3 linked regions of the Drosophila melanogaster genome follow. The protein of the gene in region 1 purifies or fractionates together with the protein of each later gene. This does not show direct contact. Each region holds a gene or a part of one and is shown in the gene's direction. Other genes may lie near its edges.

The links.
Region 2: the proteins of Grip75 (region 1) and Grip128 fractionate together in Drosophila melanogaster (co-fractionation; 2 studies listed by BioGRID). This does not show direct contact.
Region 3: the proteins of Grip75 (region 1) and Grip163 fractionate together in Drosophila melanogaster (co-fractionation; 2 studies listed by BioGRID). This does not show direct contact.

The regions. Positions count from the first base shown.
Region 1 is NT_033779.5:10,476,410-10,486,357, forward strand, and holds Grip75 (Grip75), read left to right. Parts: upstream 1-6,885; 5' UTR 6,886-6,948; coding exon 6,949-7,017; intron 7,018-7,074; coding exon 7,075-7,219; intron 7,220-7,277; coding exon 7,278-7,563; intron 7,564-7,624; coding exon 7,625-7,784; intron 7,785-7,844; coding exon 7,845-8,351; intron 8,352-8,415; coding exon 8,416-8,788; intron 8,789-8,844; coding exon 8,845-9,118; intron 9,119-9,128; exon of another isoform or gene 9,129-9,184; coding exon 9,185-9,323; 3' UTR 9,324-9,338; coding exon of another isoform or gene 9,339-9,381; 3' UTR 9,382-9,445; downstream 9,446-9,948. Other genes in the region: RluA-2 (RluA pseudouridine synthase 2), read left to right, coding at 977-1,183, 4,689-4,875, 4,939-5,161, 5,213-5,300, 5,354-5,574, 5,634-5,824, 5,876-6,165, 6,216-6,377 and 1 more; Cog4 (component of oligomeric golgi complex 4), read right to left, coding at 9,339-9,381, 9,446-9,672, 9,743-9,928. UniProt on the Drosophila melanogaster protein: Gamma-tubulin complex is necessary for microtubule nucleation at the centrosome.
Region 2 is NC_004354.4:15,465,050-15,476,026, reverse strand, and holds Grip128 (Grip128), read left to right. Parts: upstream 1-3,907; 5' UTR 3,908-3,987; coding exon 3,988-4,107; intron 4,108-4,162; coding exon 4,163-4,651; intron 4,652-4,760; coding exon 4,761-5,378; intron 5,379-5,438; coding exon 5,439-5,938; intron 5,939-6,005; coding exon 6,006-7,513; intron 7,514-7,577; coding exon 7,578-7,621; 3' UTR 7,622-7,746; downstream 7,747-10,977. Other genes in the region: mh (maternal haploid), read left to right, coding at 711-803, 866-988, 1,068-1,424, 1,532-3,133; Alg14 (ALG14, UDP-N-acetylglucosaminyltransferase subunit), read right to left, coding at 3,209-3,784; CG15641 (uncharacterized protein), read right to left, coding at 7,753-8,121; CG15642 (uncharacterized protein), read left to right, coding at 8,558-8,674, 8,760-9,194; CG6299 (uncharacterized protein), read right to left, coding at 9,317-9,484, 9,551-9,808, 9,903-9,958, 10,034-10,169.
Region 3 is NT_037436.4:11,991,954-12,004,132, reverse strand, and holds Grip163 (Grip163), read left to right. Parts: upstream 1-5,994; 5' UTR 5,995-6,082; coding exon 6,083-7,108; intron 7,109-7,169; coding exon 7,170-7,323; intron 7,324-7,384; coding exon 7,385-7,749; intron 7,750-7,807; coding exon 7,808-10,068; intron 10,069-10,130; coding exon 10,131-10,380; 3' UTR 10,381-10,859; downstream 10,860-12,179. Other genes in the region: Pop2, read left to right, coding at 1,539-1,547, 3,043-3,383, 3,443-4,178; viaf (viral IAP-associated factor), read left to right, coding at 11,089-11,094, 11,264-11,980.

The DNA.
Region 1 (9,948 bases):
CTGTTCTAAATTGACTTTTCGCCTGGACAAAACTAAAAATGACGACATCGCGTTTTTTTTCGCTTTCATAGAAAAGCTTTGCCTCTAAACATGCCCATCATGCGCGTGTTTATAAACAACACAGATCTCTTACCAACCTGTATATAACATTTATATGTATATATATATAGAAAGGTGTGCTGGGCCTCCGATTACACTCCCACATGCATGTTCGCACACATGTATGCAGTTACCAAATATGGGAACACACGTTAATGTAATTAAGCCTTAAGGCTGGATAAATGCCAACTCGAGTCGTATATTATTTGCGATATTGCAGGCAGTTATAAATTAACTTCTTTATGACTGCTGCTAATTTGGATTTTCAATTCGAGTGCTTGTTATTTTGGGTGTTATTTTAAAAGAACTTAAACAGCTTGAAGATAAGGTTTCAAAAACGTTAAGCCATTATCATTATCCCAGGACTGCCTCATTTTTGGTGGAAGCGATTTCTTACATTTTGTTACAATTTAAATCTGTATTGGTTTTTCACGCAATATCTTTAGTTTAACGAATATCATATATCCTATCTTGAACTTCAGCATTTCGAAAACGGTTTCGAGTGGCTTTGAAAAACCAGTAAGTTCCGTGCAAATACCCCTAATGAAGTTCAATCGGCGCGAATCAGTGGTTCGCGCGCTTATCGATAGGCAATGTTTTGGTTTTGCTTGCTTTCGGCATAAAAACGTAATTTTCATGCGGTTTTTGCGGCAATTTAGGGACGTTTTTCGTTTGGCAAGTGGTGTTTGTGTTATGAATTAAAGTAACATTTAACTCATTCAATTGAATCATCGCATAAAGCAGAGTGTTTTTGTGTTTGAAACTGAAATCTGCGCACGTGTTGACTAACTTGTTGTTATTATTATAGCGTTGCTTAGATATTCTAGTAAATTGGCCGCAAATCAAAAACTATAAACAATTCTCGTGGCTGTTGAAAATGGAGAGTTCCAAACTCTTGAGAAATGCACAAACCCAGCATGGAGATGCCTCATCCGTGGACGTGGAAAACATATTCCTGCACCGCCATATGCTATACACAAATCCCACTTCGGATGGCAATCTCCATGATCGGGAAGATTCCCCCGAATGCGTGTGGTGTCCAGACGACAAGGATGGTAGTCCAGCTGAAAGCAAAGATCCACCGGTGAGTAGTGATAAGATAAGACATTCTATTAAGTACATAGATCCGGTTACTATTATATATCAAGATATCATACAATATATAATTACATATGATCCGCATTGTTTGCTGAGTATACCTTGTGTATTTATAAAAAAGAAAACTAAATTTTTAAAATTATATACTGTATAGTTATAATTTTTTAACATTACAGAAATGTTAGAAATATATTGTATATTCAGGAATATATTTATGTGTAAAATCCAGCTGAACTTGATTAAATGCCGTTTTGTTCATGCACTTGAATGCATATTTGTTTACCCTGGCGTGTCGCCCTCCATTATTAATTCCCATTTATTTACCCGCTTTATAGCGAGGAATCCGCGGCTGGCGACCACTTCTCCAACTTTGACCGATTCGCAGCTAGTAAAAGAGCATATTTATCTTGGGGGAATCGAATGCCCAAAACAATTTAGTCCGGTCTGCTCGCAAATTGTGTGGATTCGGATTCCTGTCCTCACTTATGCAGTATTATTGGTGTCGAGGGAAATTTCAATGCAGCAGCTCCAATCGCACACTTAAAACTTAATTAAAAAGCTAATCAGGGAGTAGCAAATGCAATTTGCTGCATTAATTTAAACAATTAATTAGGTACAATTTCAATTGTTGTAATGCTCTTCATATCTAAGCTCATTCATACTGTAGTAGTTTAATTCTAAATTGACGTAATAAACTAGAGGCAAATTAGGTTTTTGATTGAAGCTTAAAGTGTTGTTTTGTATTTATTCTTCAGAAAAAGTTTCGAAGTAAGTTGCAAACTAATTAATAACAATAATGAAAGAAAGCTCAAACAGCATTGCGTGACACCCACACATGTGAGTGAAAGAAATGGGTTTATTTCAGTTTTATTCTATTACCTTAAAGTTTCGAGAGTCATAAAATTGTATATAAACATGCGGTGGAGCCAGGAGGAGTAGCTGCACCCTGGTACCTGGAGATTTAAGCCATTTTTACGAGACTTTGAGTCACAAATGCCCCAATAAACGAGACTGCAGTCAGTGCCTGCAGTGGAAGAGTCAACGTTCTGGCCGCCATAGAAATTTAAAGCCACCCCTAGGCGTCAGTAGATTCTTAAAAATTTAGGGCTTTGCTAAGATGTGCAACAAAAACCAGATTTTAGACAAAACCCTTAATGGCCCACAAAAACCGGTACAGGCATGCTAGTTTCGTGGCTTTTTGTTTGCTGGTTCCTCCACCTCAACGTACGTGACAGTGTCAAATGGCCTTAAATATTTAGCCAGAGTGTACACTTAAAGCGCCAGACCCATTCCTAATTCTCTCTCGCTAATTAAACTAATCAATAAACTAAAAACCGGAGTGTATACAAACGCATATACATTATATACATGTATATATATGTATATAGGGAAATAGCTCGAGGTTGTCGTCTGCAAGGAGTTAAGTTATGTGTGGGGACCAACTGGACGCACGAATGGACGGACACGTTTCACTTGCCTTCGTAGATATTTTACCACGGATTTGTCATAATTAGTTCTTTTTTGGGTGGGGTTTCAGTGGGTTTCTAGTGTCCCGGCATCTCGCGCGGTGGCTGCCTAACGAGCTACTTTTGTCAAGTTGGTCTGTTGGTCGTGATGTTTCCGCAATTATTAGTGTCAGTGCCTCGTGCTTACGGGCGGGTGGGTATCCTAAGTGCGGTCCTCATTGTTTCCGCGATGCGCCTTTTGGGCCAGTCGTTTTTATAATTCTTACAATACCATGTAAACACGCATTACGAAAACCGCCGCGGATGGCGGTTACTGGTTTGCAGGAAGAGGAAAATCCCTCTAAGACTTGGTCGCCTGCACTCCTTTTCCATTTTCCATTCCACTGACACTGGCTTGCGCCATCAAACTGAGGAATTAAAAGGGAAGATAGGCTGCCTGTGGACTAAGTGGCTTTGCGGATCAGGCACACTTTGCGCAATTAACTAAATAAATAAATGTATAGAAAAGTGGTTGTTAAGAAAACATAAGCCTTGTCATTCGAACATATCAAATATTCCCAAATCTTGCCACTTTAAAAACTCTTGTTGGGCTTTTTGCACAGACACAATACCTATTTTTTTTAATAAGGTTTGATTGCATCCCCTCTGTTAATTATAATTAACAGGTAATATTAATGATTTTAACTTTCTTTTTGTGGCATAATAATGGTGGCATATTGACTTGGAACAATCAAAAGCATTATTTATGTTGACTTTAATAGCCAAGGACAAACAAAAAATTATGAAATAAATAAAAATAACAATTGCATTAATATGTAAAATCTGTGTAGTATATATATTAATTAAGACCATAAAGGGAACAAAACCCATAGAGATGGCACTTTCGAATGTGTTGAGATATCTGCGAGGCGCCAAATTGAATTGATCTGGCAACGCTAAGTTGAATTTGTTATCAATGTAGGTTAATGTGAAGAAAAAGAAAAATCGTGGGTTTGTTTACAAAAAAGCGCGATAAAAATAGAATGCGAATTGGCGGCAAGTGAGGGGAGCCGCCGATGATATCCAATTTGTATGATAATTATGCGCACAGGTGTGGACGGATTGGAAATGTGCCATCAAGAGCATGTGGAAACAGAAACATGAGCCAATGAAGGCGACGGAAGAAGAGCATGTCATTATCCTCCAGTTGGATAAGTTCCAAGATGCTGATCCGGATGAAATCAGGGTGTATCAAGAAGCAGTACCCAAGGGAGTTAGCTCCTCTAGTCTTAAAAACACCGCCTAACAATATAAAAACCTTATCGAAACCCATTGTTAGCTGATAACAGCTTTAGAATAATCTCTGCAGGATCAGAGGTCACTGCAATTCTTAAGGTAATTGCAATTCTTAAGGTAATTGCTGTAGAGCTTCGTGAAACTACGAGGACCGACGCAGAATCAATGATGTCTATGGCACTTGAGATGTGGAGAAGGGAGGGCAGCACAAAAATGATAAAAAATGTTTGTATTTTATAGTTTTAAACTTTGCATAACCCTTAAACAACTCAAGAGACCTGTTTTATTATGGACTTTTGTCTATGTTTGCTTCCTGGCTAGAACATATTGGCTGGTAGACCAGTAACCAACAAAATACTACTGGTTCGCAGCCAATTTTGTAGTTTTTGTTTTCCTTTTAGTGTGCAACAAGGAAAAAACAAACAGTCTGTCTGAAAATTATGCTTGGGCTGCAGAATGAAAACGAGGAATTGTTTGCACACAAACACCGGAAACAAGGCTCCAATGTGTTAAGAGCTGATAAGCTGATAAGGATACATATATGATGACTTTGGCACGGTAGGCTTTCGTATTTTCTGTATCTTCAAGAGTGAAGTTCCTCAAATCTAAACGAATTTTCTAAATAGTAAGCAATTGTTCAGTTTAAAGCAAGAACTAAAGGTGTTTTTGCTCAAAAATAAAAAGAAGACATTCAATGAAGCTGAAAATATTTTAAAAAACTATTACCACCCGTCGTGGTTTATCTTACAGATATCCATATCAGAGGAAAAGTCTGAAACGCAATCAAAAGAAGTTTTGTCGGAAAAGCGAAAAGCTAGCAGCACAGATGACGAAGGGCATGTGAAAAAAGTAAAATTAGAGGCCAATAGTCTAAAAACGAAGCGTCCTGGATTCAGCGATGAAAGATACGACGAAACATCGTATTATTTTGAGAATGGTATGGCCAACATATTAATAAACCAACTTAGAAGATATTCTGTTATAAAATTGCAATCTATAGGTCTGCGGAAGGTGTATCCTTATTTTTTCACATTCACCACGTTCGCCAAAGGACGTTGGGTTGATGAGAAAATTCTGGATGTATTTGTCCGCGAATTTCGAGCCGCACCGCCGGAGGAATATGAACGCAGCCTGGAAGCGGGAAAATTGACTGTTAACTCTGAGAAAGTGCCCAAGGACTATAAAATCAAGCACAATGATCTGCTGGCCAATGTGGTGCATAGGTAAGCATCAGCAGGAAATCTCATTTGAATATGCACACATTTGCATTCTAGACACGAAGTCCCTGTTACTTCACAGCCCATCAAGATTGTGTACATGGACAAGGATATTGTGGTTGTGAATAAGCCGGCATCGATACCGGTAGGTATACTAATTTGGAAGGAATTTGATTTAATAACAATCGTATGTTGTAGGTACATCCTTGTGGAAGATATAGACACAACACGGTAGTTTTCATCCTGGCCAAGGAGCACAATCTGAAGAACCTGCGAACCATTCACAGATTGGATCGTCTCACATCTGGCCTACTTTTGTTTGGACGGACTGCTGAAAAAGCCCGCGAATTGGAGCTGCAAATCCGAACTCGCCAAGTGCAAAAGGAATACGTTTGCCGCGTTGAAGGACGCTTTCCAGAGTAAGTCCAAAATGCATCTAATCTTTTATATATCTGCTTATTTTTCATATCTTTCGTAGTGGCATAGTTGAATGCAATGAGAAAATCGACGTCGTGAGCTACAAAATAGGTGTTTGTAAGGTTTCACCGAAGGGCAAGGACTGTAAGACCACATTTAAAAGAATCGGCGAGGTGGGCAGTGATAGTATTGTTTTGTGCAAACCACTAACAGGACGAATGCACCAAATACGAGTGCATTTACAATTCTTGGGTAAGTGACAACCAGATAATTCCATTCAATTATAACACTCGTATTTCACAGGCTATCCCATTTCAAATGATCCTTTGTACAACCATGAAGTTTTCGGTCCATTGAAAGGAAGAGGAGGAGATATCGGTGGAATAACCGAGGAACAGTTGATCAGTAACCTAATTAGCATTCATAATGCAGAAAACTGGTTGGGCTTGGAAGGAGATCAAATCGTATCAGGGGAAATAAAAGACGTAGCAGCAAGTACTTCAGTAGTAGAGGCTCCCTCAGTAGTTCAGGCTCCTATTAATAGTGAAACTGAAAAGCCTGTGATTTCAAAAAACCTTGAACCAAGTAACGATGTAAGTAACTTAAAATAGTTGTACAAGTCTGGAGAACACAATGCTTATAGGCTACTGCACAGATTGCCACCCAAACGTGCTATGAGGAACCAGACAGGTCCTTTGATTCCAAGAAGACAACTTCGGATCCGCAATGTTCTGAATGCAAGATAAACTACAGAGACCCCGGCACAAAGGATCTCATAATGTACTTGCATGCATGGAAATACAAGGTCAGTTTCAAACTATACATTTTTAAAGATTTAATTTCAAATTAAATCTTATTTTCAGGGCGTTGGTTGGGAGTACGAAACCGAATTGCCGGAATGGGCGTGTAATTCGAATATTGATTACGATAAAGTATAAAGGAAAAATTGATTGCAAACACGACGCTTTAGTAAAAAGAAATATTTTTACAGAGTTTAACAAATTGTGTTTCCATTTTATCTTCATTTGTAGCATTGTTTTATTACTTTGCCGAATTACTTTATCATTTTGCGGTGCAAGGGGATGTCCTCGTGGAGTATTATTTATCGTCGTGCAGTGGATGTCCTAGGATGCCAACTATCCTGGATAATACTTTGCAAGAACTTCACCTGAACACTCTGCTCACAGTGGTTTCAGTTAACTGCAGTTCTGCGAATTTTTAAAATTTAAAACCACAATCAGTTGGCGGGAAGGGAATGCCCCTAATTCTATCGATTAGTTGGTTCTTATCGATAACGGACGGGGCAGGATATGTGTCATCTCTGTCGGACATCTGGCGCAAATGAAATACAAATACCGAATTAAAGCAGCAAAACAATGATACACGATTTGTTATTGGCTTGCCGGAGCCACAATCCGGAGCAGCTGGGTATAAAGGCATTCAATGTAAGTAAAATCGTTGGAAATAAATAATTTCGAAAGCCTTACAAGCGAACTTTCTAGGAAACCACAGTCATTGACCAGTTCATACATCCTTGCGAGCGGGAGATATTTATGGACATTATAAAAATCATTAAGGTTTACCAAGAAGTTGAGCAGTTTACCCATTCATCGGGAAGAAAGTCCGACACACATGGCGAACTTCCAGGTATAAATGGAAGGTTGCATAGTGTTTTTAAGATTTCAAATGTGTATTTCTATCGCAGATAGTTTGCATGGTTACTACTTGCTCAATTTGGCCAAGGGCATTGAAATGGCTCTGGAGGAGTACTACGCTGAGATCGGACGTCTGGAGAAGTATTGTTTGGGTAACGAGCGCAATTCGCTCTCATATGTCTACAATGCCCTGTACGCCAAGTTCCCCCTTCTGGTCTTCATGCGTAATCTCATCACAGAGATCCATGTGCTGAATCTGCGAGGATGCGTCTTGCTCCACAATCTACATCAGCAGTGCGAGCACGGCGATATTCAACTGGAAAAAGCAATCAAGATGCAAGTGATAGCCAACACACAACGCCTTGTTTCCATAATCCAAATGCTCTTCATTATGCAGAATTATGAAGCCTGTTAAGAACGCATTTTTCTCCAGCCTGGCTCACTGGCTGTTGTTTGGAGTGATTGACGATGTCCACTCGGAATTCTTTATTAAGTTTACCCCAACGGATGCAGTTGATGGTAGCTCATTCAGCAAATCAGCCACTTGCTCACTTCTGGTAACAACTTAACAAGCGATTATCCTTACCCTATATTATAAATAGCATATCTATATCCAGAGCGCAGAGAAAAACCCCGAGGATTACATATGGCAATATGAGGTGAATATGTCTCAGCTGCCAGGATTTTTCTCCATCGTTTTAGCCGAAAAAGTTCTGTTCGTGGGACAAACAGTGCTGGTCTTCAAAATGGGGCGCAACGTAAAAGTTAAAAACAAAACCGACCCACTGGCGGCAAAACTGGCTGAATTGGATTCAGATGATATCTATCAGCTGTGGAGCGGCAGGGAGTCCGAGTTCTTCAAAATGGTCGTTGATTTGAGCAACGAGGACACCATCAATGTGTTTCGCCTCGAGAAGGTTATTATCGATATCAAGAATTACGTTAGCGCCCGGCTGTCGGAGATCGCTGTGAACGAAGTGGATCTGGAGCGGCAAATGGGACTGATTAAGGACTTCTTTTTGCTAGGCAGAGGAGAGTTCTACTTGGAGTTCTGCTCCCAAATGGTCGGTACCATGGAAACTTATCGCGAAGAACGTTTTAAAAACGTCACTAGATCATTTGAGGTACTAATTACGCATAATGTTGTTAAATATGTATTTTAGATTTACATTTTTAACTCATACTCAGCTGGCAGCTACTGTCACGGGAATCACAGATGACTTGGACAAGTTTTCACTGATCTGCCAGAGAAGCACGTCTGAACCAGACGATACCTCCGACTTTAATTTTCTGCAAGGCCTCAGTCTAAAATATGAGTATGAGTGGCCATTGAATCTTTTGTTCTCCCCAACAACGATCGAGCGGTACAACAATATATTCCGATTTTTACTGATCATTCGAACATATCAATACGAAATACAAAGGGTCTGGGCCAAGCAGACTTGGAGGGCGAAGAGTGCAAAGGATGTGCCTCCAAATAACAAAATCATAACTCTTCGCAACTATCTAATGTTCTTTCTGAACAACATGCAGTATTACATTCAAGTTGATGTGCTGGAAAGTGAGTTTTTGAGCGCAATACGAAATTGATCGAAAATAACTCACATTTTGTTACAGGTCAATTTGGAATTTTGATGAATGTGATCAAGAGCAGGAGTGATTTCGAAGTTATACAAAGGGCTCACACTGTATTTCTGGCAAATGTTCTTTCGCATTGCTTCCTGCTTAACGAATCAGAGACCCAATTGAATGTCACCGGGAGCCAAAACCGAAATCCCATTTATGGAACCCTTCTTAAACTCTTTGGCATATGTGAGAAGTTTGCGCATATGACCCAAACGAAAGATCCGTCTGATGACTTAGAGGATGAAGTCGACCAACTTAATGAAAGGTATGTCTTTACATTTTGGATAAGTGGGTTATTATTGTATAATAATAAAACGTTGTTTTCTTATAGTTTTGGTGTTCAAATTGCGAGCCTTATCCAACTATTAGTCGATGTAAAATCAGCTTCTTGTTTGGGTCCGCTTTCGCAGCTGCTTTTGCGTTTGGATTTCAATTGTTGGTTCAGTGCCAGTCATAATACGTCCGCATGAATACGATGTTTTTGCCTAAAGTTGTAGCCGCTTAATGTCTTCTATACGAAAGTCATTTCTGAAAAACAAACAAACGATTAATAAACTGAAGAAAATGTTATATTTTAAATAAACTTTCTTACCTTAACGTTAAAAATGTGCGAACTTCGTTAGGTGTGAGATGCCAAGATGACATCTCTTTGTTATTCTCCGGATTCCAGTACTCCGATAGCTCCGTAATCTTGTCCAGATTGAGGAGCGTAGCTATTTGGGATATACGTGTCATCTTATCTCGAACCGACCACGATGTAGCTCCTGTTAGATAACTTCCCAAGGCACGAACTTCCTGATCAAGCACCAAACCGCCAAGCTTTTGAATAGAACATAATCCATTATTATTCTAATTCCACAAGGTAAATTTGACCTGCTGAGATACATACTCTATTAAAGCTGATTTTCTTAATAGCCCGTTCCAATTGAATAGTCACTTCGGTCGCCAAAATGCTAACGAGTGCATCATAGTTGCGCGGACTCAACGAGTTCTTAAAAGAGTTAAGTAGTCCATCCAATTGCACTATGAAGAACTGGACAAATGTCTCCCCAGCTTCGTAAGCAGCAAGTTCCTCCTGTAAAAACAGATTGCATT
Region 2 (10,977 bases), on another chromosome or scaffold:
ATCGCCTTCCTTCTCCCCACCCCAAAAGACGCGATAGATTTGAAGACGCGATAGGTGTGTAATTAATGTTGACTGCGCGCTATGCCATTTAGACTTGAAAGTTTATCAAAATGAGTGCGTCGCTTCAAATTCTTACGTTTCCACAGCGAATAGATCAGTTATAATAGATGTACGCATGCGCAGGCTAAATTCGATTCTCGGAATTTCTTGAGCTATTTGAAAAAAGCGCTGCAACTAGAGATGGACTTTGTGCGACACTGAACACTGTGTATATGTTATTTGAAGCAAGTAATAAGACTTATCACGTTATATTAAAATTTATATGTATATTGTTATATTAAACGAGCGTGCACTTCACTATTACAGAATTGAACTGTAACCACGGTTATTTGTTGATGTAAAACCAATTTTTATAGCACAAATCTTTATCAAATATTATTAAAAGTGTCGCGCTATTTCACCGTAGTCTTAAATCGCTTGTTAAGTTTCAAATCGCTTACCACTGTCGTTAAATGTGATAAATAGAGTAGGCAAGCTTTGCGCGATAACCGAACTTATCGATACCTGACTAACCGCGCATATATTTTTGCCCCAAAGACTGGTCACACTGCGGCGAAGCGCGAAATATTTTTCGAAGTATTTTTGTGCACCTCGAAATTGCGATACTAATTTCTGTAGAGGATTGGCCCAGGATCAACAAGGCGACCATCATGTCAGATGCAGACTACTTGTTCGCTCTGAACCTGCAGAACCAGCTAAATGCGGAGTCAGACCAAAGTTACACAGCCGCGGATGCCAGCAATGTACGTAGTTGGAAATGGTAATCTGGTCTATAAAAAAACACTCTCCACTCTGGGTTCTGCAGGACAGGGACTATCAGCTGGCACGCAGGATTCAGAACCTAATAAACGAGGGCGATGAGGACGGTGCTAGCGAGCTGGACAGCAGCATTCAGTTCGTCTACCCCAAATCGAATCAGCCAAAATCAGTGAGTGTGCCATGAAAAACATAGCATTTCATTCAACCGTAGGCCCTGCTCATATCGTATCGCCTTTCATCTCAATCAGACAAAAATGGAGAACTCTGAAATCAAAAACAAAAAACGAGAAGCGGCTAAAAAGAAGCCAGTGCGCGCTATTCAGGCCAGCCATGATGACTATCTGAATAAGACGATGAATCTGGTGGATCCGGAGTGGGAGCTGGTCGATCCCACCCCGGACATCTACGCCATGTTCATACGCTTCGACGAGAAGTTCTTCCAGGAGCGCCTGGGCGCCGTCTCCCTGGAATGGAGCAAGAAGATGTACTCGTGCGCTGGAATCTGCTACCAGCGTGGCAATCGCTTCGTCAAACAGGTGACCATTCGGCTCAGTGAGCCGCTGCTAAAGTTGCGTCCGCGCAAGGATCTCGTGGAAACGCTCTTGGTAAGAATTGTTGCACGCAGTAAGGTTCTTAATTGGCATCTCAAGCCTATAGAATTGCATATGCACATAGCTATTTAGCATTACATTATACCTCTTTGTTTATCCAGCACGAAATGATCCATGCCTACTGCTTTGTGCTCAATATACGCGAGGGTAACGGTGGCCATGGACCCAATTTCAAGCGCATCATGGAGACGATCAATAAGGTGGCGGGCACCAACATCACCGTTTACCACACTTTTCACGATGAGGTGGCCTCCTATCGCACCCACATCTGGCGCTGCACGGGCATTTGCCGAGAGCGCTCACCCTTTTGGGGCTATGTGAAGCGGACCAGCAACCGAGCGCCCGGTCCGAACGATCAGTGGTGGAAGATGCATCAACGTGAGTGCAGCGGCACCTTTTTGAAGTTGAGTGAACCCCCGAAGGCCCCCAAGCCGGAGACCAAGTCAAGGGCTAAGAAGTCCACACCGGCGGTGGCCGCGCCCAAGGAAGACATACGCAACTGGTTCGGCCAGCCGTCAGCCAAGAAAGCGGCCACCGGCACAGTCTTACTAGGCGATCTGGCGAAGGCGGTGCCGCCGACTTCTTATCCCGGACTCTCTTCCGAACCCTTTGCATTGCCCAAGACACCAGCTGCTGGCACAAAAGGCAACAAAAGCGGCGGATTCAATGAACTGGACAAATCAGGTTCGAAAGCCACCACTGAAATGAGCGGACAGGGCTACAGTCTTGGTGGCTCTAGCGCTATAGAACACATAGATCTTAGTGACACTGATGTTCCCGATTCCGCTAAACTTCGTCAAATTCGACTTCAGCGTTTTAGCGAAGATGCTTCCAACAAGCGACAGAATAAGAAAAAGAGGCGTCGTGTTTCCAGCGACAGCGAGATAATCAACTGGGAGTCCTACGATGATGACGTAATGGTCAGGGATGTTCATACGCCCATCGTCAACTTGGTCGAAAGCTCTAGTGATGAAGAGGAGATGAAGATGCCAGCTGGCAGAAAAACCATGACCAGTCAGGAGCGCACGCAGATCATCAAGCGCCAGGTAATGGAGGATGAGTTGACCTTGTGTGAGGACGATATCCTCTTAATTGATGATGAATACGACGATGAGGTGGCCGCAAATGAATCTTTAACAGCCGCCACGGAGCTAGCTGACCAATCCATTATAGATGATATTTTTGGAGAGGACACCCTGCTGAAGGAGTTCCAGCGTGAGAACGACGTGCAGCCCAGTTGCTCAAGCTACGCCAAAAGAATTGAGAACGACATCGTATCTTGTCCCATTTGCTTTGAGAAAATGAGGCGCACTGAGTTGTCCAATCACTTCGATGGCTGCGCCATTATGGTGCGCTTGGAACCGCCATCGTTTAAGCCTAAAAACCGCCGAACAACTGCTTCCTTAACCTCAAAGGACTCGTCGGGAGCTTCCACATCACGCCGCGCTAAATCGAAAGCAAAGTCATCAAAAGGAATTCTTCGCAGCTCCGGTTACACAGAAGGGGAGATCGACAAGCTCAACCTGAGCTCCTCTACCGACTCGTCTACTCTGCCGTCTAGCGAGGACGAACTTACTCCGCGTCAGCGCCGCCAGCGCAACCTCTTCAAAGAGACCGTAGGCTGCCCCAGATGTGGCCTGGAGATCATGCCTCTACACCTGAAGGTCCATGGATCCGTCTGCGCTGGTCGCAAGAAGCGCTAGGACAAAAAACATCTCATACAAAACATAATTCGTTAAATAGAAACTAATGTTAACTTTAATGTTATTAAAAACATGTTACAGGATTCGCCCAAAATATCGCACATTCTTTTTATCCAAATAGCGCGTGGCCAACGCCGGCCAGTGGACCACAAAGAGGTCCGCCAGCGGAAGGAGCAGGCGTCCGCTCAGCGACAGCGTCTCCACGCGGCAGAAGCTCTCCACGAACACTATTCTGGAGTGCGAGGGCAGGCGTCCGAGGAGGCGCCACAGATAGGCGGCATAGCAGAAGGGCACACAGGTGCCGGGTCCATTGCAGAGGATCAGTTGGGGGCGATCACGCCAGACCAGATAGCAGCTCCAGAGAAGCGCCCACAGGCTGGTGAAGATGCTGCTTAGCCAGGATTGGCCCACGTCGCGGCTGCGCGGCACCTTCACGAATTCCGCCCTCTGGGCAGCCTGCGGCAGGACCTGCCTGAACTGGCGCTCGGAGGTAGAGTCACTGTTGGCCAGGATCAGTCTAATTGGCTGGTACTTCTCCGTCTGTTCGATGTCTGTCTGTTGCAGCAGCGCCTGGGTCAGCCGGCACATCTCCGCCGTGTGGCCGCCAGAGCCCAGTATTACGTAGGTGGGGTGAGGCGAGCTGGTCGTCATATTGCCCTTCGAAAACTCAATTTAAATGACAACATTTACAATTGTTTACGTTTCAAGTCGATTGTCGATCATCCACGAACAGCTGTTTCCATTGCTATCGATAACTGAACCGATAATTATGCCGGTGTACCATTTACGTTGTTGTCATTGCTGAGGGCGCCATTTATAGAATTTATTGGATCTCAATCAGAAAGCGGAGCGAAATGGCTCCTCCCGCCCAGAAGGGTAACCTACGGAAGCGCTCCGGCAAGACCTCGACGGCAGTCAACTCCGCCATAAACGAGAACGTGCGAAAACTGGTCAGGAGCCTGTCGGAACCGGGGGTATGTTTTAAAACAGATGTTATCCCTATTCCAATTTAACCAACTTAAAACGCAGACGAGCCAGAAAAAGTTGCGCCAGATGGAGGATACGGCATTGAAGATAATCGCCAACCAACGCAGGACATGGGCTCCTACAACGACGGACATGGAGGTGAAACGCAACCTGGACGATCTGGCAGAGCGTTTTCGGGCGGAGGGCATGGCGTCTTTTGGTGAGAGCATCAAGGACTTGGCCATCAGGTATTTGGCTATGGACGAAAATCAACAGCAATTCAATCCTAACCCCGGATGGCAAATGCTCGAATTGCTGTTTCGCATAGCCGATAGGCCGGTGCAAAAGATCCGGCTGAACCGCGAGTTCATGGAACAGCGCCGTCTGTCCATAATTAATAGCATGGAGGAAGCCGAGCGACAGGCACAGATAGAGGAACAGGCGAAACTGGAGGCAGCCAAGAATACCTCCGAAACGGAGGTGGACTGGGCAGCGCTGCTGTCCGAGGATTTTCTGGATCCGCCAGAGGATGACAGCTCGGACAGCTTAAGTGTGAGCATCTAGAGAACCCCAAACATATGTCATCTGCTACACATATGTAGCCTGTTCTTTCCATAAAATCATTTGCAGCATACTAATACCTTTACCTTCTTTCCAAAAGGACTGGTCGGAGGAGTCGGACTGCGACTCGACAACTACTCTGAAGCCCGATGAAAATATTGGCGTCTCGCGAAGCCTCTTGGAAATGGCCAGGGTGTACGAGCAGGCCATGATGGCAGTCGTTCCGACTGGAAGTGTTAACAAAACGTATATGCCGCCCGAGCAGAGCGTGATCCGGAGTTACGACTTTCGGATAATGAAACCAACTGTTCTAAGCCTCAACAACTTAAAGGGCAGCCATCTGAGACGAAGCAAGCTGCTCCAGTTGCCGCCACCCCAACCGCCCCGACCATTCACCCAATATTGGCAAAGTGGCAACACAGATACGCTCTTCCGTAAAATCCATTCCCACTGGTGGTGCCAAGATGTCCATTTAAACGCCCTGCCCTCCAGTGCTAAGCCACTGGACAACTTTGCCGTCAGCTACGTGCAGTTTCTGAATCACAATGCCCGAGGCTTGTTGGCCCTGCCAGTGCCGAAAACCATCACGGAGCCCTGTCTGCTAAGGGAGATCCTCTTCATGTTTGTGCGTCCAGCGAGCTGTTGTTTCTTTGAATTCGACAAGGCCACGCGACGCATTACTGTGCGTGACAATGTCAGTATTTGTACGGTGACTGCGGTAAGAAAGTCGAATCGTTAATGTGTAACTCTATCTTTAGTCCGGCTTTTTTTTTTGTAGAGCACAATGCAAAATTTTCTGTTATTTGATGTGGTGCCTGCGCTGGAGGACATGATGGAACTGCGTCACATCATCGATACTCATACGTTGCATTTTCATGGCGTAAAGACAACATACACCGTGGAGTTCTTTGCATACGGCCTGAGAGATCTTGTCCAGCCCATTTGCCAGCTCCTCATCGCTTACGAGGATCGTGTCAATAAGGATCCAGCGAAAAATACACTGATCCGTTTTACGATTGAGTTCAGGGAACATTTTAGCCAGCTGCGCTTACTGCGAGAGCTGGCCGAAGATGTCATCCTGGATAAGGGACCTGCGCACATACGCAGTGCCTACTTGCTATCCAGACTGTATAAGCACACCTTGCTGCAGGTGCCGCACCAGAAGCTGGCCACTGCCCTGCTGTTTATATCTCTCAAGCGATATTGTATCATCATCGACGGCTGGTGGCGCAGGGCCGCGCTGGAAGATCACCTTCGCGAGTTCATCGTGGAGTTTTGGTAAGCCAAAATGGTGCTCACACATCACTCTGGCCAGCTGAAGTCATAACTACATTGTTTTTAATAGTTACGAGGAAGATGCGAACACACGTAGCCACGTGCGCAAACGAAATATGGGAATGGAGGATGATTTGCTACTCGTGGAGATCTTCAACAAGCTGCAATCCTGCCCACTCTACCAGCTACTGCTGGAGCATGCCTTGGAGTCTGGCGAAACGCAAGATTTGCTATGTAGTGTAAATACGCTGAGCGAAATGCTGACCAGCAACAATGAAATCCAACTGCCGTCGCTGCACGATGAGCTGTTCACGCAGTTCTTTGCGCAGCTAAAGGTTTACTGTGGTGCGGACAACACGGATTACGAGGATGAGCCGGAGCCGGACAAAGACTACGAAGATCTGACTGTGTGCAATAGGCAGGGCATTAGGAACCATGAACTTTTCGCCATATTTACCCAGCCGTTGGTGGAACAACGTTTGGAGCGACAACGTGAGCGGCTTAAAAGCAACCCCGTTCTAATGGCCAACATTTTGAAGCGCTTGGAGCGCTCCACATGTCTGCAGCTGAAGTCTGAGTTGCCGGAGGCACTGCGCGAAATACTGCGAAGGAGACAGTGGCTGGCGAACGAGTACGCGATTCGAGCGTACTGCAAGGAAACGCAGGTGGCCGAGAAGATGCGATTCCTGCGGCATACGATGCTGCTGGAGAAATACTACCTATTTGTGCCATACTACAACGCACTCTTCGTGCGCATGGAGAAAAACAATAGCTGGGCACTGGGTTCGGTGCTCACTTCTAAGCTATGCGCTGTGCTCCTTCCGCATTATCCGCAATTGGCTCATTATCTTCATGTCAAGTTAATATCCCAGATAAACTCGAATTCAATCAAGGTCTATGAGGCCCTGGAGGCTATTGAACTGGACTTCGAGCGGCCAATGGCCATGCACCAGTGGTACATTCTCACACCCGCGCACATGCAAGACTACAATTCGGTGTGGCGTCTGATGCTGAAGGTGAAGTGGGCCGTCTGGAAGCTGGAGAATATGCAGTTTTTGCGTCGCGCTAGGTTCAATCCCTGCGCACCACTGGATTTGATCGGTCTGACCATTCGTCGCCTGGAGATTGTGCGCTTCTGGTTAATTTTCCTCATCAACAACCTGCACGCGCACATTATGGAGGCCGTGAGCCGGCAGTTCGAGCTCAGGATTGGCGAGTGCAAGAATGTCCGCGAGTTGCGTATCATGCACGACGAGCACCTGGCGTGGCTGAAGACACACTGTATGCTGACCGACGAATTTAAGGCATTCCGCGTCGCCCTCGACCAGATCTTTCATCTGGTCTACGTGCTGGACATGGAGTGGACCACCTGCGCCAGCTGCATGCACGACCACGATGCCCTATGCTTGGACGTCACCATTTCGGATGACGGCATTGATGACAGCGAAACGCAACGTCGTAGCTTGGAGTACCTGGCGCTCAACCAGGTGGCGGAGATCGAGTTAACGTACATACGTTGCCACCAGATGCTGGCCGACATCCTTAACACGCTGGTGCACCAGAACGATCACGGATTCCGTAAGTGATTGTTGGTCCCGAAATTTGGACATTTGAACTTACTCTTTTTCACTTCGTCTTGCAGTGTCTGCCTTGGAGGAGACCATCAACTCCAGTGTGCCCCATTAGAATCGAATCTCCTCCACAAAGGATCTTGTTAAACATTACGCATTACCATCACCTGCACCACTACCTATAATCCCGACCAAACATTCCCATACCAACTGAATTAAAAGCAGCTTATCTTTGTTGACAAAACCTCACTCGAACTCCTCATCGCTGTCGCCGAAGGGCTCGACGATCGGTGGTGGCGGCGGCAGGGTGGTCACCTCGTGCAGCGTGGGTCGCCGGATGTACGGCTGGCAGGTGAGCTCGCACATGCGGGCGCTGGCGAAGACCGTGCGATGTGGGTAGCAATTACCGTTGACGTGCTCGCAGCGCCGGTAGGCGGATTGGCGATTGAAGACGTACAGATCGGCGCATGGCGAGCAGTTGGCCTGGCCTATCAGTCGCGTCTGCAGGCACTGGAAGCGGCGATCGCTGGCGCTGATGCCCATGGACACCTGGCGTATGGCCATGGCCAGGGCGATGGCCACCAGACAGCAGCAATGCACTCCTTGCCGTCGCATAGTCCGTTGATCTCTGCCGCCTCGCCGCTCTATTCGTTTCGCTTCGCCCGTTTAGCTGGTTTCTCATGGTTGGCGTGGCGCTAATGTGTTCCGCCTTCCTTCAATCTTCAATCTGCAGCACCTCAATGTTAGGCTAATACATATTTGGAGCAGAAAGTAACCCTTTCCAATAGTTTAAACATGTCAAAAAGAGTTTGGAGACAGGCTGTAGCTGAATATTTAAATCGAAGGAGCTTGCGGCAGGACCTTTTCGAGTGCGGGAGCAGGCAGCTTAGGTCCTGCAAACGGCAGCAGTCGCAGCACTCAGAGCTGAAGCGTCCTTTCCAGCTGATTACGTTGCCCTGGCAACCAGCAGGAAGTACAACAAACGTTGCAGCCACTTGCCACTGAACTGAAGTGCAGTGCCTAGAGAGTGCTTGGTGAAAATCCAATCGAAATGGCGTACTCGGTGACGCCGCATCGGGCCAACCTGGTGCTGCAAATGCTGCTGCAGGCCAACACGTATGTGTCCATGGTGTGGGCCATGAGCTACATGATCCACATGCTCATACGCGTAAGTTTTCATTTGAGATTACCCCCTTCCCCCCCCCCCCCTGCGGCATGTGCGGTCATAATCAGCTTCCGTCTGTCCCCGGCAGCTGCATCATTTGTGGAACCTGGAGGGCCTGTCCATGCTGGTGGCCTACGTTTTGGCGGTGTCCGCTGAATCCGTACGCCTATACGCCGGCTACTCGGTGAACCTGTGCTCTGGCGCCACCGCCATGTGGATGCTGCTCACCGTGACACCATGCATCCTGCTGCCCGCCATGGTCTTTCTTCGCCTCTCAGCTGCCGGACGCAGTTTGTGGCTACGCATCATCACGAACGCCGTGTTCGCGCTAATAGTTCTCGAGGTGATCGTGTCTCTGGTGCACTTTGTTATCTGCAAGCCAGGCTGTAAGCTGCCGCTGCCGCTAGAAGGGAACGAGCAGCTGCCGGAGGAGGATGAGGAGGAGCAGCAGCAATCCGCCAGTGTGGGCACACCCACGACCAATGAGCAAAAGCGACGCGTGCGACGCTACCCGGAATCGTAGTGATGAGCTGTGCAGCAGGTGGTTTATAAGTAAGGCTCTGCGTTTTACTTGGACATGGGCATAAATAATAAAGTAGGATAAGCTATTTAAGCTAAGCTAGGCTAGGCTAGGCTAAGGAACGATCACACCTTTCGTGCATCGTCCAAGTTGTGCGCCTTCAGCAGGGCGTCGATCGAGTCCAGATGGGCGCGCATACGCGGCAGGAAGCTGGTCAGCACCTCGATGTTCTCCGCCTGGGCGACACCCTGGCCCAGCAGTTGGCTGCGCGTGGGCACCCAACTGTAGATGATCTGCAAGCGAGGGAATGAGCGCCCAATTAGCGAAGGAAGTGAGAGATACCCGCCCGATGCACCCACCTTGATTGTGCTCTGGACGATGAAGCCGTGGTAGGGCTTCAATGTGCGTTCGTACGCGTCCTGCAGATGCTGCTTAAGTGCCTCCTTGGCCTGGGCATCGTTGTAGATGTTCTCGAAGAAGGTGCATATGAGCTGCAGGCCGCGCTTCAGCCAGAGCAGCGCGTTGGCCGCAAAGTCGTCCACGTTCACGTTCAGCACGATCAGATCCTCCAGATACTGGTACTTGACCACATCCGCTCCGTAGGCTTTCGTCAGTTTCTGAAACGGCAATAAACGGCAATGAAAACGAATGTACACATGTATATATATGTATGTATTTCGTGTTAGATCTTAAAGATCTTGGAAAGCTTACGTTTATGTTTCCGTTCATGTCGCTGATCACGGGTGTGAATAGTTTGCCGAAGCTCTCTGAAAAATGAAAAATGGTAAATAGATAGCAGTGAGTTGAATTGATTGGCTTCGGTTTGGGTGCGCTGTTATCACCTATGACGGTTACTATCTCCTTGGAGGCGTCGAGAAAGGCCTGTGTCTCCAGCTTATCAGCGGTATCGCCGATGGCCGGAAATCCGCGCAGCGCCTTGAACTGAATGCGCGCCGCCGATCCCTCGCTGGCTGCCATCGTGTGCTCCTGTTCTGTCCTGTTCCGTCCTCTAATTTCCTGCTCTGCTCTGCTGCGTTTCTGCTCTCCTTAGCTCTCCGATTGGTTCCGTATCCAATGCGCTTCGAACGCCGACTGATTGGTAAATCTGCAAGCGAAGTTGGCCACCTGCTTAGTTTCGGGCACCAATATCGGCTGTTTATCTTATCGAACGAGCTGCGCTCGGAATTCTAATACTACTCTACACTCGTGCGACACTTGAGCTCGCCATCGGACGGCCTTCTCCTCCGACGCGGCGATAATGGAAACTGGGCTGAGCAAAGTGCCGTGCGCGACTACGTTTCCCCACTCGCCGGGGGGAACGGGTTACGGGGGGGGTGGTGCAAGGGGTCAGAGCTTTAACCCACCTCACAGCTGGCGTCTTGGATCTTGGAGAGCCGCCAGAGAGCTCGAGTTCCGCACACTTCGATCCAATCCGAGTTGGCTTAGTACGAAAACCTGATTTCAGGTTTGCACCATGGGATAAAACGCGATTTTATGTCTCAAATTATCGGACAGCAGGAACTTACAAAAATTACAGCTTTAGATTGAGAAGTTTTGAACTGAGATTGAAATAGACAAAGTTACTTACAATTCTAAGTTACTTTAACAATTTCAACACTTTCAATTGCTAAATTAAAGTATTTGAAAGTGTTTTAGATTCAAAAACTCGAATCAAACAATAATTTACTCAATACGCTAACGTTTTTCTAACCGCAATGCGTGTAAATACCAAAAGTATTTAGTAAACTAAATACTAAAAACTAAAAATAGTTAAAAACCGTTTTTC
Region 3 (12,179 bases), on another chromosome or scaffold:
TGCCAATCGCTTGTGGAAAGAATGGCGAGTTTAGAATTGCTATTAGTTCCACAAAGCAATGATAATGCGATTTATACAATCGACAGTCAACAATTTAACAGCGTTTAGTGAACTATTAGGTAGCATTGTGAAATAAGTAATGAATATAATGTATCTTAAAATAATCAGACCGATTAGAGCGACTAGAATGATTTTCTAAAAACGCCTATAAAGGGGAGGTTTAAATGGAACGTTCTTGTTGGATCGGTTTGTAAATATTTAAATATAAAATAGAAACTAAATAAATTTGACATTTTTGCAACACAATCTAGAAAGTTTCCTTCCTTGTAGGTAAACTATTGAATTCCAGAGGTCAGATAAGAAGAAAAGCCCTTATCAGTACGGAAACGTGTAGTTCAAGTGGTTTTATCAGCATTTTGTAACCGGATTGAGCATAAAAATGCGAAACGTGCGAAAAGTTTATTAACCCTTTGAAGAAACTGGAGAAATCCGTTCTTTGAGGGTCCACGAAACCAAAATAATTGGAGAGATCAGTCGTTATGTACCGATGTACGTACATGTATGTATGTATGTATAAACATAATTGCCGATTGTTGACAGACGGCGAGCTTTATTTATCTTATTTGCTTTCTTTTTTTAATTTGGCATGTGTGAAAAAACTAGTTTTGCACTGTATTGGTATAAACGTAAACAAACTGAGAAAACAGTTGATTCAATTGTTTGTTTATTTATAACGCGAGCCAATTCCTCAAGAATTTGCAACAACAAATGGGTCAAGTTAAAAGGAAAGTGGGACAGACGTAAAAAGAAAAACCACAAATCCAGTAACATTTCTTACTTGATTATTATGATCTATATTTTTGTATCAACTTTTAACACTTAACATTAAAGTTAAAAAATCACAAAGCTACCACTTCTACCGGTGAAATTGAAATAAATATATTTGTTTGACTGTCAGCGAACAGCTGAAAGTCTAGTGTTGCCATCGCTCACCAACTTTCATAGTTTCCCTGGCGCCCTCTAGGCGGCTGCTATAGCGAGTCAAAGGCAGGGCTTGGCAGCACTTAAGTGGCTGAGTGCCTAATATTTAAATACAACAAAACCCATTTTTTTTTGTTAATTTAGATTTCTAATTACTATGCTTATGAACAGAAACTAAAAATTCAAAAGATGGGCACCACTAAAGTCGCCAAACTATCGATATTTGTAGCAATTACACGTTTTCCAGCACTTGAATCGAAGAGCGAACGTTTACCCTCACTGCCGCAATCGCGAACAATTTTTTATTATGGCACTTGCGCGGCTCACAAACGATATTCGCTGATAAACATTCATTGGAAATTATTGCCGAACGCAGAGGACTCCGCCAATTGAAGTGTGCGCTTAAAACGATCGCCGTGCAGGAAGCGGAAGTGCCCCATAACAGCTATTTTCTCGCCGCTTTCTCCCCCATCACCCCCCCGCAAAACAAGCGACGCCGATAGAAACATTTAATTTGTGCAAATAGCCGAAACCTACACGGTCGGCCATCAAATATTATGAAATGGGTAAGCTGCGAGGGTAACCACGAGTGGGTCCATTTCCACAGCCTTGCGTTTCCACGGCGCAAATCGAAAACGAACTGCAATTGCAAATGCATCTTCAATGCCGCTGCAAGTGTGTGTGTGTGTGTGTGTGCGGTGTGATGTGAGCGTGTGTGCGAGTGTGTGCAGTTTTCTTAGGGCGTTTTAACTGTTATTTATTTTCGGTTTCTTCATTTTCCGCAAATAGTCACTTTTTCGTGTTTGTCTGATTTCCCCCCCCCCCCCCCCCAGCCTGCACTATGAATCCGATTTCGAAATGGATTGAAATTCACACCCTCAAATCTTCAGTGTCACTTGCAAATGCTCAAAAACGTATGGAAATTTCTGACTTGCTATGATGTGACTTAAAATCATATTTTTATGTTAAACGCCCTTATATTCATAATTGGTAAAGCATACCAAATCTTAATTAATACAACATATAAAGGGTAGAGCAGCGATTGAGAACTTTTCTGCATATTTCAAAACCTTAAATATAACCTGTGTACAATGAGGGAAATGTTTCTCACACTGTAGTTAGAAATTAAGTCATGTTAATGCTGTCTAATTGCAGCATCAGCTTTAAATAACTTGCCCAGTGTTATCTGAAGGTGTGTTAATGCATGCGATACATCATAGGTGCAATAGGTATAATCCTGTAAAGGCAGATTGAATTATTATTCCGATACCCCTGCATTCGATCAGGAGCATTGATCCCCCGAATCAGAGCTTAAGACCACACATCCAGGTGGAACTTGTTGCTTGAGGCTTGGTTGTAGGTCAGTGCGAAGAGGTGGCTGATCCGGCGGCGAAGGGTGCGCACCAGGCGACGTCCGGCGACGATGTAAGTAGCGGCCATCGTAAACCCAATCACTCCAGTAACCACCTCCAAGCAAATTTCCAAAAAATCGTTACCTTCACTTGCCTTGTTTCGATATGATTTTATTTTATGTTGTTTCCTCGTATCAGCAGCAAAATTCGTGCACTTCTAACATCGATATTGGCCAATCTTCAATTGTGAACCTCCTGTTTAGTTGCGCTATCGTGCTTAACCAATTGGACCAGCTATTTTATTATGTTGCTAACTCTTACCTCCACATAAATACACAAAAACACAAGACACTGGGATTAGTCCTTATCTATGGAAATATTCGATATCGGTAACCTTACACTGATGTTTAAACAAATTCGAAAACTGAGCACCATAAACAACAATTAGTAAACCATCATTATAAACAAAGGTTTCATAATGTTTGTAAAACGTTCTTCAGTTTGTTTGTGCCTTATAAATCTGCATTGTGGAGCATTTACTATGCTTCATAAAATGATAGGACTTGATCAACTAATCATAGCATTGATGGCGAAAACTAATATTTCACATCTTAAATTAGGACTAAACAAACACAAACATATACACACTTATACACTGAAATATGTATACATTACAAGTAGTTTGACCCACAACCAATACTTTTCCCAGACAATGCCCTCGGCCATCAGTGGCGCGCCACATGCCCACATACCCAGCAACGAGGAGTGCGGCATCCGCGATGTGTGGAAGCAAAACCTGGAGGAGGAGTTCCGCACCATACGGAAAGTGGTGCAGAAGTACCACTATGTGGCCATGGACACCGAGTTTCCAGGCGTGGTAGCACGTCCAGTCGGCGAGTTCCGCTCCACGGCGGACTATCATTACCAGCTGCTGCGCTGTAATGTCGATCTGCTGCGGATTATCCAATTGGGCCTTACCTTCATGGACGACGATGGAAAGACACCACCCGGCTACTCCACCTGGCAGTTCAACTTCAAGTTTAACCTGAGGTAAAAGTGTTTTGTTTATGCTCTAATGGGGGGTCCTATATTATCGTTTGTTTCCCTAGCGAGGACATGTATGCGCAGGACTCGATCGATCTGCTGCAGAACTCCGGAATTCAGTTCAAGAAGCACGAGGAGGATGGCATCGATCCCATCGACTTCGCCGAACTGCTGATGAGCTCTGGCATCGTGCTGGTGGAAAACATCAAGTGGCTGTGCTTCCACTCCGGCTACGATTTTGGCTACCTTCTAAAGCTGCTCACCGATCAGAACCTGCCCCCGGACGAATCTGAATTTTTCGATCTGCTGCACATCTACTTTCCCAACATCTTCGACATCAAGTATCTGATGAAGTCGTGCAAGAACCTGAAAGGCGGCCTGCAGGAGGTTGCCGATCAGCTGGAACTGCGGCGCGTGGGCCCCCAGCATCAGGCCGGCTCGGATGCTCTGCTGACGGGCATGGCCTTCTTCAAAATGCGTGAGGTACAGCACACAAATGATTTCCACATTACACCGGTGGCGCACGATGTACTCTTTCGCTATCTGCTTGAGCACACCATGAACTTAAAGCCGACGATCAGCTGCATCCATCTGCTGAGCCGTCCGGCATACAATGGGGGCCCTGCCCCCGACGAATCTGCGATAATCAGCAGTGGCAACGGCACAGGCAACACCAACTCCACCGAGCAGTTCACCTCGAGCGCCTACATGGTTACACCTCCTAATACGCCCGGCATGGCCAAGAGCGATGCCGCATCGCTGTCCAATCGCCATACGTCTATTTCGAATAGCTTCGGATGATTAGACAGCTCGCTCGCTGGTGTTGCCGTGCACTTGCCACTGCTAACGTAACGTGCCTCCGCCCATCATAATCATTATTCCTTAGGTTTAAGGTTTTTCATGGTTGTCATAACGCATTTTCATACATAACTCATCTATGTACTTAGTTTTTTGTGACCTGCACAATTTACAGAGCCAGTGACCCAGAATTTATGAATGAAATCCATAATTTGAAGTGTTCTTAGTAGTTAGTTTGGAGCTGTTAAACCCATGTGAAACATGTTTATTTAGCTGTAATGCCCGCGATACGAATTGAAATGAGAAACGCGCTGGATTCGAATGGAAAATTAAATGAATTGGAATTAATTTTCTTTAAATGTTTATTTGCATTCTTTGGTGTTTGGGCATGGCATATGCATATCATAGCTTGCTTGATTTCATATGACATCTTTTTAATTGTATTGATGTTCATTTTAATTTATGTTAAGTTCACGCTCTTCATTTATATCGAATTAACAAATTATTCTTTTGTAATTTTAAGCGCTTTGCTGACATATGTTTCCACACGGTTTACTGTGTGTATCAGCGTACCAAGACCTTTATCTTCTAGAGAACTGCCGAATAGTTTTGAAATAACAAGAACATTGCAGAATAAATCCCATCCCATACTAACATTCATTAAATATGAAATTTACTAATATTGAAACCTCGTCCAATCACATCGGTTCTGCGGTATGTAACAAATCCTATCTACAAGTAGGACCCACCCATCTACTTGGGATTACTTTCTAAGACTTTGCTGCCGTAGAAATATGTGTGCTTTATACGCTTTGTAGCTCCCAACTAAAGTTGCTCGCATTGATACATCCCATAATTACCATACTTACCCAGAAACTGCTTTCTAACCCATTTGTGCTGTCCCATTCGAAAAACGATCCAATGTTCTGTACCTGCCTAATGAAACTTACAATCTTTGCAGATGTTCTTCGAGGACAACATCGACCATGCGAAGTACTCCGGACACCTGTACGGCCTGGGTACCTCCTTCATCGTCAATGGCACCAACTTCCACGACAGCAACGGTGAGACGAACAGCGCTTCATGATTCGTACTGATGGGGAACGTGGTCGTGCACGACAGGAAGTTCGAGCAGGAGGAATCACCGGGTCCGTCGGCATCTGTGCAGGCCACACCACCTGGCCAACTGATCCTAGCCGTAACAACACCATTGCAGTAATCTGTGGACAGTCGACACAGATCGTTCCCATTTGTGAACAATTATACCCCGTTGGCCATAAAGCTAACTTCTTGATGTTTCCCACGCAAGTTCAGATGAATAGGCAACCGTTCAATACGAAAACATGGCATAAACTAATTGTAAATCGCATAGAAATGAAAAACCGGCAAAACTAAAATAGATTCAATTTCAAGTTCTGCATGTCTTAAATGTGTTACGAATACAAAACTAAGGTATGTAAAATTAAGCTAAAACTGTAAGCCAATGAGCGAAACAGAGAATATTGTGTATTTGTAAAAAGAGCAAAAAAACAATATATTTAAAACTTTTTAATTTAGTGTACATTTCGAAAACGTGTTTTTATTTGAAGTATGAATACGAATCGAGATGTTTGGTTTAGTAGAAAAAAGATGGCGAAAACCTGTAGAAAAAAATATCAAATATCAAATATCAAATCAAGAGAAACCAAGAATCCCAATATCTACAGATGAAAACAAAATTTTCAAGGGTTAAAAATCAATAGTGGGTTAATGAACATATAAAAGGTATTTTTAAAATATAACGGAAATACGCCGAAGTAGCAATAGTCGGATTTTTGTGAAACTGTGGTGCGGTCACACCGAGCCTAGTCCTTATGTTTTGTTTATGGAAAATATCTTTTAGTTTTTGAGTATTAAAAGCCAAATCGATGGCAACTGTGGCTGAATGCAATCACAGCGTCCTCGACCTGGTAACCAAAATGGCCACAATGCTGGTGGCCGATGAGATGAAGCCAAAAAAACAAACAGCTGTGCTGGTGGCCAAAAAGCGCTCCAAAATCTATGAATCGCTGCTTCACAGTGAAACGATGTCGTCCCAGGACAAGCTGGAGATGCTCCACCAGGTGACCAGCGAGGTGGCAAAGAACCCAGACCGGATGGACATGCTGCTCAGGTTCCAAAATCTGCTAGAAGGACAGGATAAGGAAGAATCGGAGATTACACAGGACCAGGATGAGGAAAACCAGTCCGAAGTGGTGATCAAACGTATCAAGGCAGGTCCACTGCAGCTGATTGAAACCATAGAGATTGTGGAGGAGGCACTTCATCCAAAGGCCTTTCCCGACATCAATCAAATGAATCGCGCCCTGAAACCCCTGCAACTACAGCCATACTCCGATATTCTTACAACGAGTAACCTGAATATAAATTTTCCGCCAGAAAAGCTAATTCCGAAGATCATACCATCTACTGTAATTCGCATGGGATTATCAGAGTCCATTACACGCATGAGGAACGAAATGGAAAAACCAATGCATCCACCACCCCGATTGCCAGTGCTCGCGAAAAAAGTCGTAGCTCCATTAGAGGATGAACGACCTTTTGTGGCCCAGCCTGGACCGGAGAAGCACTTCGTTTCGGATAAATTGTTGACCAACGAACTTAAGATCCTCCGGAACAAGAACCTGGTTCTCAACTACCTAGATGAAGCAACCCTAATCGATCACCTAAAGAAAGCAGCGTGTGGTATTGAATCTTTAACGTTTCCCATCTCGTCGGCAGATAAGTTGGAGTTGCGAGTGAGGCCCAACACAACTTTGCCAACTATGCTGCCGGAGGTGCTGGCGGATTTTGCAAATCACTTCATTCGTGCCGGCTGCGCCTTCCTGCGTTTGAGTTCCCGCACCAAATGGAACAATATCGCCGAAATGCGGCTGGAAAGGCCTCTAAATCGAGTGAGATTGAATACCTTATTTCCAGTAGTGATATATTCAACAATCCCATGCTTTCTTATAGGCCATGCGAGAGACGATTATGGACTATCTAAGCACCACTCGGCAGTTTTTGCTCTCTTTGCAAGCCGATAGCCTTTTCCAGCTGCTAAACAACACCTCCACAGCGATTCAGTTACTCTGCCAACTAGATAGGATGTTCGAAAATGAACCAAGATGTAAGAATGCCGCGACGCGAAATTATTTCAGAATTAATCTCTTTTATATACATTAATGCAGTAAACCTGAACACTGGGATAACTGGCTCCTTCCTGTTGAGCTCCATCTGGCTGGCCATCGACACCTGCGGAAACAAAGACTTCCTGCACCTGCTCATCTATTTCTTGCGCTGCATATCCCGTAATTATTTTATTCAGCTACAGAGATGGATCTACCATGGTGAACTAGACGAGTCGGTCAACGAGATTTTCATCAGCCGCTGTCTGAACACTTCACCGTCTTTTACAAACCAGTGCAGCAAAGAGTTCTTTGACAAAAGCTATCAAGTGGACAACGAGGCGATTCCTGAATTTTTAGTCGGTTGCGAAGAGGAAATTCTTCAATGTGGCAAATACAACCTGGTGCTAAGGGCATATAACGCTCAGGTATGCAGAAGATTATTCAAAACTAGAATCCATATATAATGATTTATTCTTTTTTTAGCACCCCGTTTTTGACGTGCAGTACCCGGATATTGTGGTTTGCCTAACGGAGCAACAACTCAAAAATATGCGCCGCAACCTGGCCGATAAGTATGCCATCATCTATAAACGTTTCGGATGGTGCAGCATGCAAAGCATTTTCGAGGACCGCATGGCGACAAAGCGTGTATTTGCCAATCTAATGGTGAAGCGAACGCAGGCCCATCTGGACGCGTGGGCGCAGAAGCAGCGTGAACTCCAAATAAAAGCGAATGCCCAGAAAAAACTCCAGAACGATCAGTTAAACGCAGAGCAGGAACGTATCCAGCAAAATCACTTAGAGAAGCGGCGTCAGGACATTGTTAATGAACTTGCATTTCAGCGGGAATGCGAACGGATGGAGGATAAGCTCCTGGAGCGGGAAAAGCAAGAGCTGCAAAAGAAAGTGGTGCAGCTAGCAGCTGTCCTGTCGTCCAGTCCTGACCGAAGCACAGTCAGCGATCTCAGTTTTGCATCCTGCATTGAGGAACCAGATTGTCTAGCAGAATCATCTTCTGATAAAGATGATGCAAATACAGAAAATTCAGAGGATGAGGCAACAAAACAGTTGGATAAGACTTTAAATGTTCCATTGGAACAGCCCGAAGCTGAATATCAAGCGGATGTAGATGTGGACCAACCACGTGGCAAAGAGTGTTCACTTCCCAATGTGTTTCAGTATCAACGGAGTCACTCGGACGTGATAAATTCTAACGAGCATCCAACAACCCAAGCAGAGTTCAATCGAAACCGCCAGCATGGTCTCTCCTCCGACCAGTTTCAACAGTGTCATGCCACGGTACATCTACAAGAGTCCGACTTACTTAAAACCGCTGCCAGCACGAGTTCAGGATTGCACGCAGAAATTCCTCAAGATATTAATGCTAATCTCAATTGCCCGGACACGAAAGAGCTGACCGAACTACAGCGAAACCGCAAGCGCAACGAGCATCATGACGGCTTCTTCAGTTTTAACTCTACCGAAGATGAGCACACCCATCGATTGCGTTCCCTATTGAACTCAAATACTGAACGTGGCAGAAATCGACTTCGGGTTATGGAGACCGAGTTCGGTCTAGGTTATAAGAACACGGATATAGAAACAAAGGCCACGCCCTGTTTGCCTCTCGAAATCGACAAGCTTCACGTCGAAATTCCCCTGGCGGTGCTAACTCCAATGTCCACCACTTCCGATGTGGATTTCGGTGATCCGTCGCCACGGGAACTACCAGAAATAGCTGACACTGCTAATAATAACAATGTTAGTGGGAGCATTGAAAGTTTGTCTCCGGAGTTGCCAAAGCCCGTTCTTGCAATTGCTAAACCAACTAGCTTATTGCCGAAACTGGATTTTGGAATGAAAGATGAAAGGGAGACGGAACAGGACAGAGATAAAGTTAGCACTTTGCCCGAGGCTTGCAATCCGTTTATGGCCCGCCGCTGCCTGCAGCTCTCCGTAATGGCGCCCCTTAACGCATACTACGGACTGCTCCGAAATGAAGTGCTGAGAATATTCCAGGAGCAGCGTATCTACGAGCATTTCCGCAAGCTCAGAAACTACTTTTTCCTGGTGGACGGTCAATTTGGAGCTACACTCACGAACGAAATTCTAGGAAGAATAAGGGCGGGCGTTGGGCCACGAAGTCTCAGCCAGAAGGGCATCCTTGACACCATTTTAACCAATGCGCTGGCGGCTTGTTCGGCGGATGAAACGACGGTATCGGAGAACCTTACCCTCAATTGTACCACCATCCCGGATACGCTCAACTTCCTGTCCGTGGAAGCCACTTCTATGCTAAAGCTGAACTGCAAGATTGATTGGCCTTTAAACATGGTGATCAGCTCGGAGACGATTTCAAAATATGGCCAGATCTTCGGGTATCTGCTGAAGCTTCGTCACGTTAGTTTCGTGCTGGATGGAACCTACGAGTATCTGCAGCAAATGGGCAAGCTTCTGGGACCGGAACTTCGGACATGTACTCATTTCCGACACATGCAGATGATGCGCCACAAGATGTCGCACTTCATGACCTCGTTTCAAACGCATCTGGTGGCCAAGGCCCTGTTGTCCACCTGGAAGAGCTTCAAGGAGGAGTTGTGCACAGCCGATTCCATTGAGGCGTTGTACAAGCAGCATGTTGCCTACTTAAAGCGGGTAGCCTTCCTAGCACTGCTAAATCGACGCAGTGCGAAAGTAAAGGAAACCATTGATAATATCCTAGTGATTATACTACGCTTTTGCAAGTGAGTTTACGTCTTAAATAGTCTGCTGATTCATTTTATTCTTTAATTTAAATGTTTTTCAGAGTCATTCAGTCGCAGTCCTTTATTGTGGATCAAGATAATTACTTTGTGCACCCCCGCTTCAAACGTCTGCAGCAGGAAGAGGCTGAGTTCGAGAAATTCTTGCAGTATCTCATCTATTTGGGCAACAAGGCGGCCGCTTCTGGTTACCAGGAGGAAATCGGTGACCTGATTTGTATTATTAACTTTAACCACTATTACAAGGTATCTGGGAACCATACTGGTTCCTCAATGGAGGACAAAAAGTGCTAGCCAATAATTGTTAGATAGGGAATTTATCTTGCCATTAAGCTGAGCTTAGAACATTTTAAAAAATATTTATGCATGCATGGCGTCTCCTAAATGTAAAGCTTCGGTGAAGAAAATCAGCTTTAAAGGCATTTATTTCTTAGTACTATTTCTTTAGTTTCGGTTAACAGTTTTGTTGTGTTGTAAGTTAATATTAATTTTCAAATAACCGGCTCAAATTAAAAGAAAATAATTTAATTAGTAACATCTAATAGTGTTTTAATTGAACTCGTATTAAATGCCGAAAAAACTGTTTTGAATATTTATCCATATCATTAATAGATTTCTGTTTAATATTTAAGAAAAACTTTTAAAAGAGACAATTGTCTCTAAAGTAGAATGTACGTATTAAATATTGTAATGAAACCAATGTCGACATGATTTCTTGAAACTGTTGATTCGAATTTATAAATAAATGTGCTTATTTATGTATGTCTTACCATATTTAATATTTAATATTTAATATTTAATTCAAACGTATGTAAGGTATCGCTTCCCTATCATCTCTAAGTGACTGTGCGCGTACGATGTATCGGTATTCGCTCCATCCCTGGTCATGAGTCACTTCGTGTAGAATAATTCAGTTTTATTTTTAGTTTATAAAAGCGCTGCACGCGATCAAGAATTTTATATTTTTAAGTAATTTATTTCATCGAACTATAATCAAAAAACATGCAGGTAAGATGGACTGTTATAAGCAAATTATATTTATTATCCGAACAATAAGGTTTTTCCATTTCGATAAATGGTAATGGTGGGTGTGTTTTGGTGCATCCAAAAATAAACCCCATATTTGGTATTGAAAATCATGAATGAAATGAAACTCACGTGGCCTTGTTGTCCATAGGACCCAAACGAAGATACCGAGTGGAATGATGTGCTCCGAGCCAAGGGAATAATTGGGCCCAAGGCGAAGGAGGCGGAGATCACAGAGGATCAGATCCAGAAGCTGATGGACGATGCCATCCAGCGGCGCACAGATCTGCCACTGAATGAAGGCCAGCGCGACAAGAAGATCGACGACATGTCGCTGGACGAACTCGACGAACTGGAGGATTCCGAGGACGAGGCTGTTCTAGAGCAGTATCGCCAGCGACGCATCGCCGAGATGAGGGCCACCGCTGAAAAGGCGCGATTTGGATCAGTGCGCGAGATCTCAGGACAGGATTATGTCAACGAGGTAACCAAGGCCGGCGAGGGCATCTGGGTGGTACTCCACCTGTATGCCAACGGCGTACCGCTGTGCGCACTGATCCACCATCACATGCAGCAGCTGGCCGTCCGCTTTCCACAGACCAAGTTCGTGCGCTCCGTTGCCACCACCTGCATACCAAACTTCCCCGAGAAGAACCTGCCCACCATCTTTATCTACCACGAGGGTGCGCTGCGCAAGCAGTACATAGGCCCACTGGAGCTGCGCGGCGACAAGTTGACCGCTGAGGAGCTGGAGTTTATGCTGGGTCAGGCGGGAGCAGTGCCCACCGAGATCACGGAGGATCCACGGCCGCAGATCAGGGACAAGATGCTTGCCGATCTCGAAGACAAAAGCTCGGACTTCTACTGAGTCATAGCCAAAGCATAGCCCTCATCCAACTTTAAGTTCAGTGGGGTGGGTAAATATTTTTAGGATGAATCATCAAGTAAAGCCCAATCCAAAACCGGCAAGCGGATCTTTTTTTGCGGATTCACTTAACTAACAAATCAAACATTTAAACGCAGTTTGAAACGTAAACATCCGCCGTTGAGAGCGAACGTTATTGATT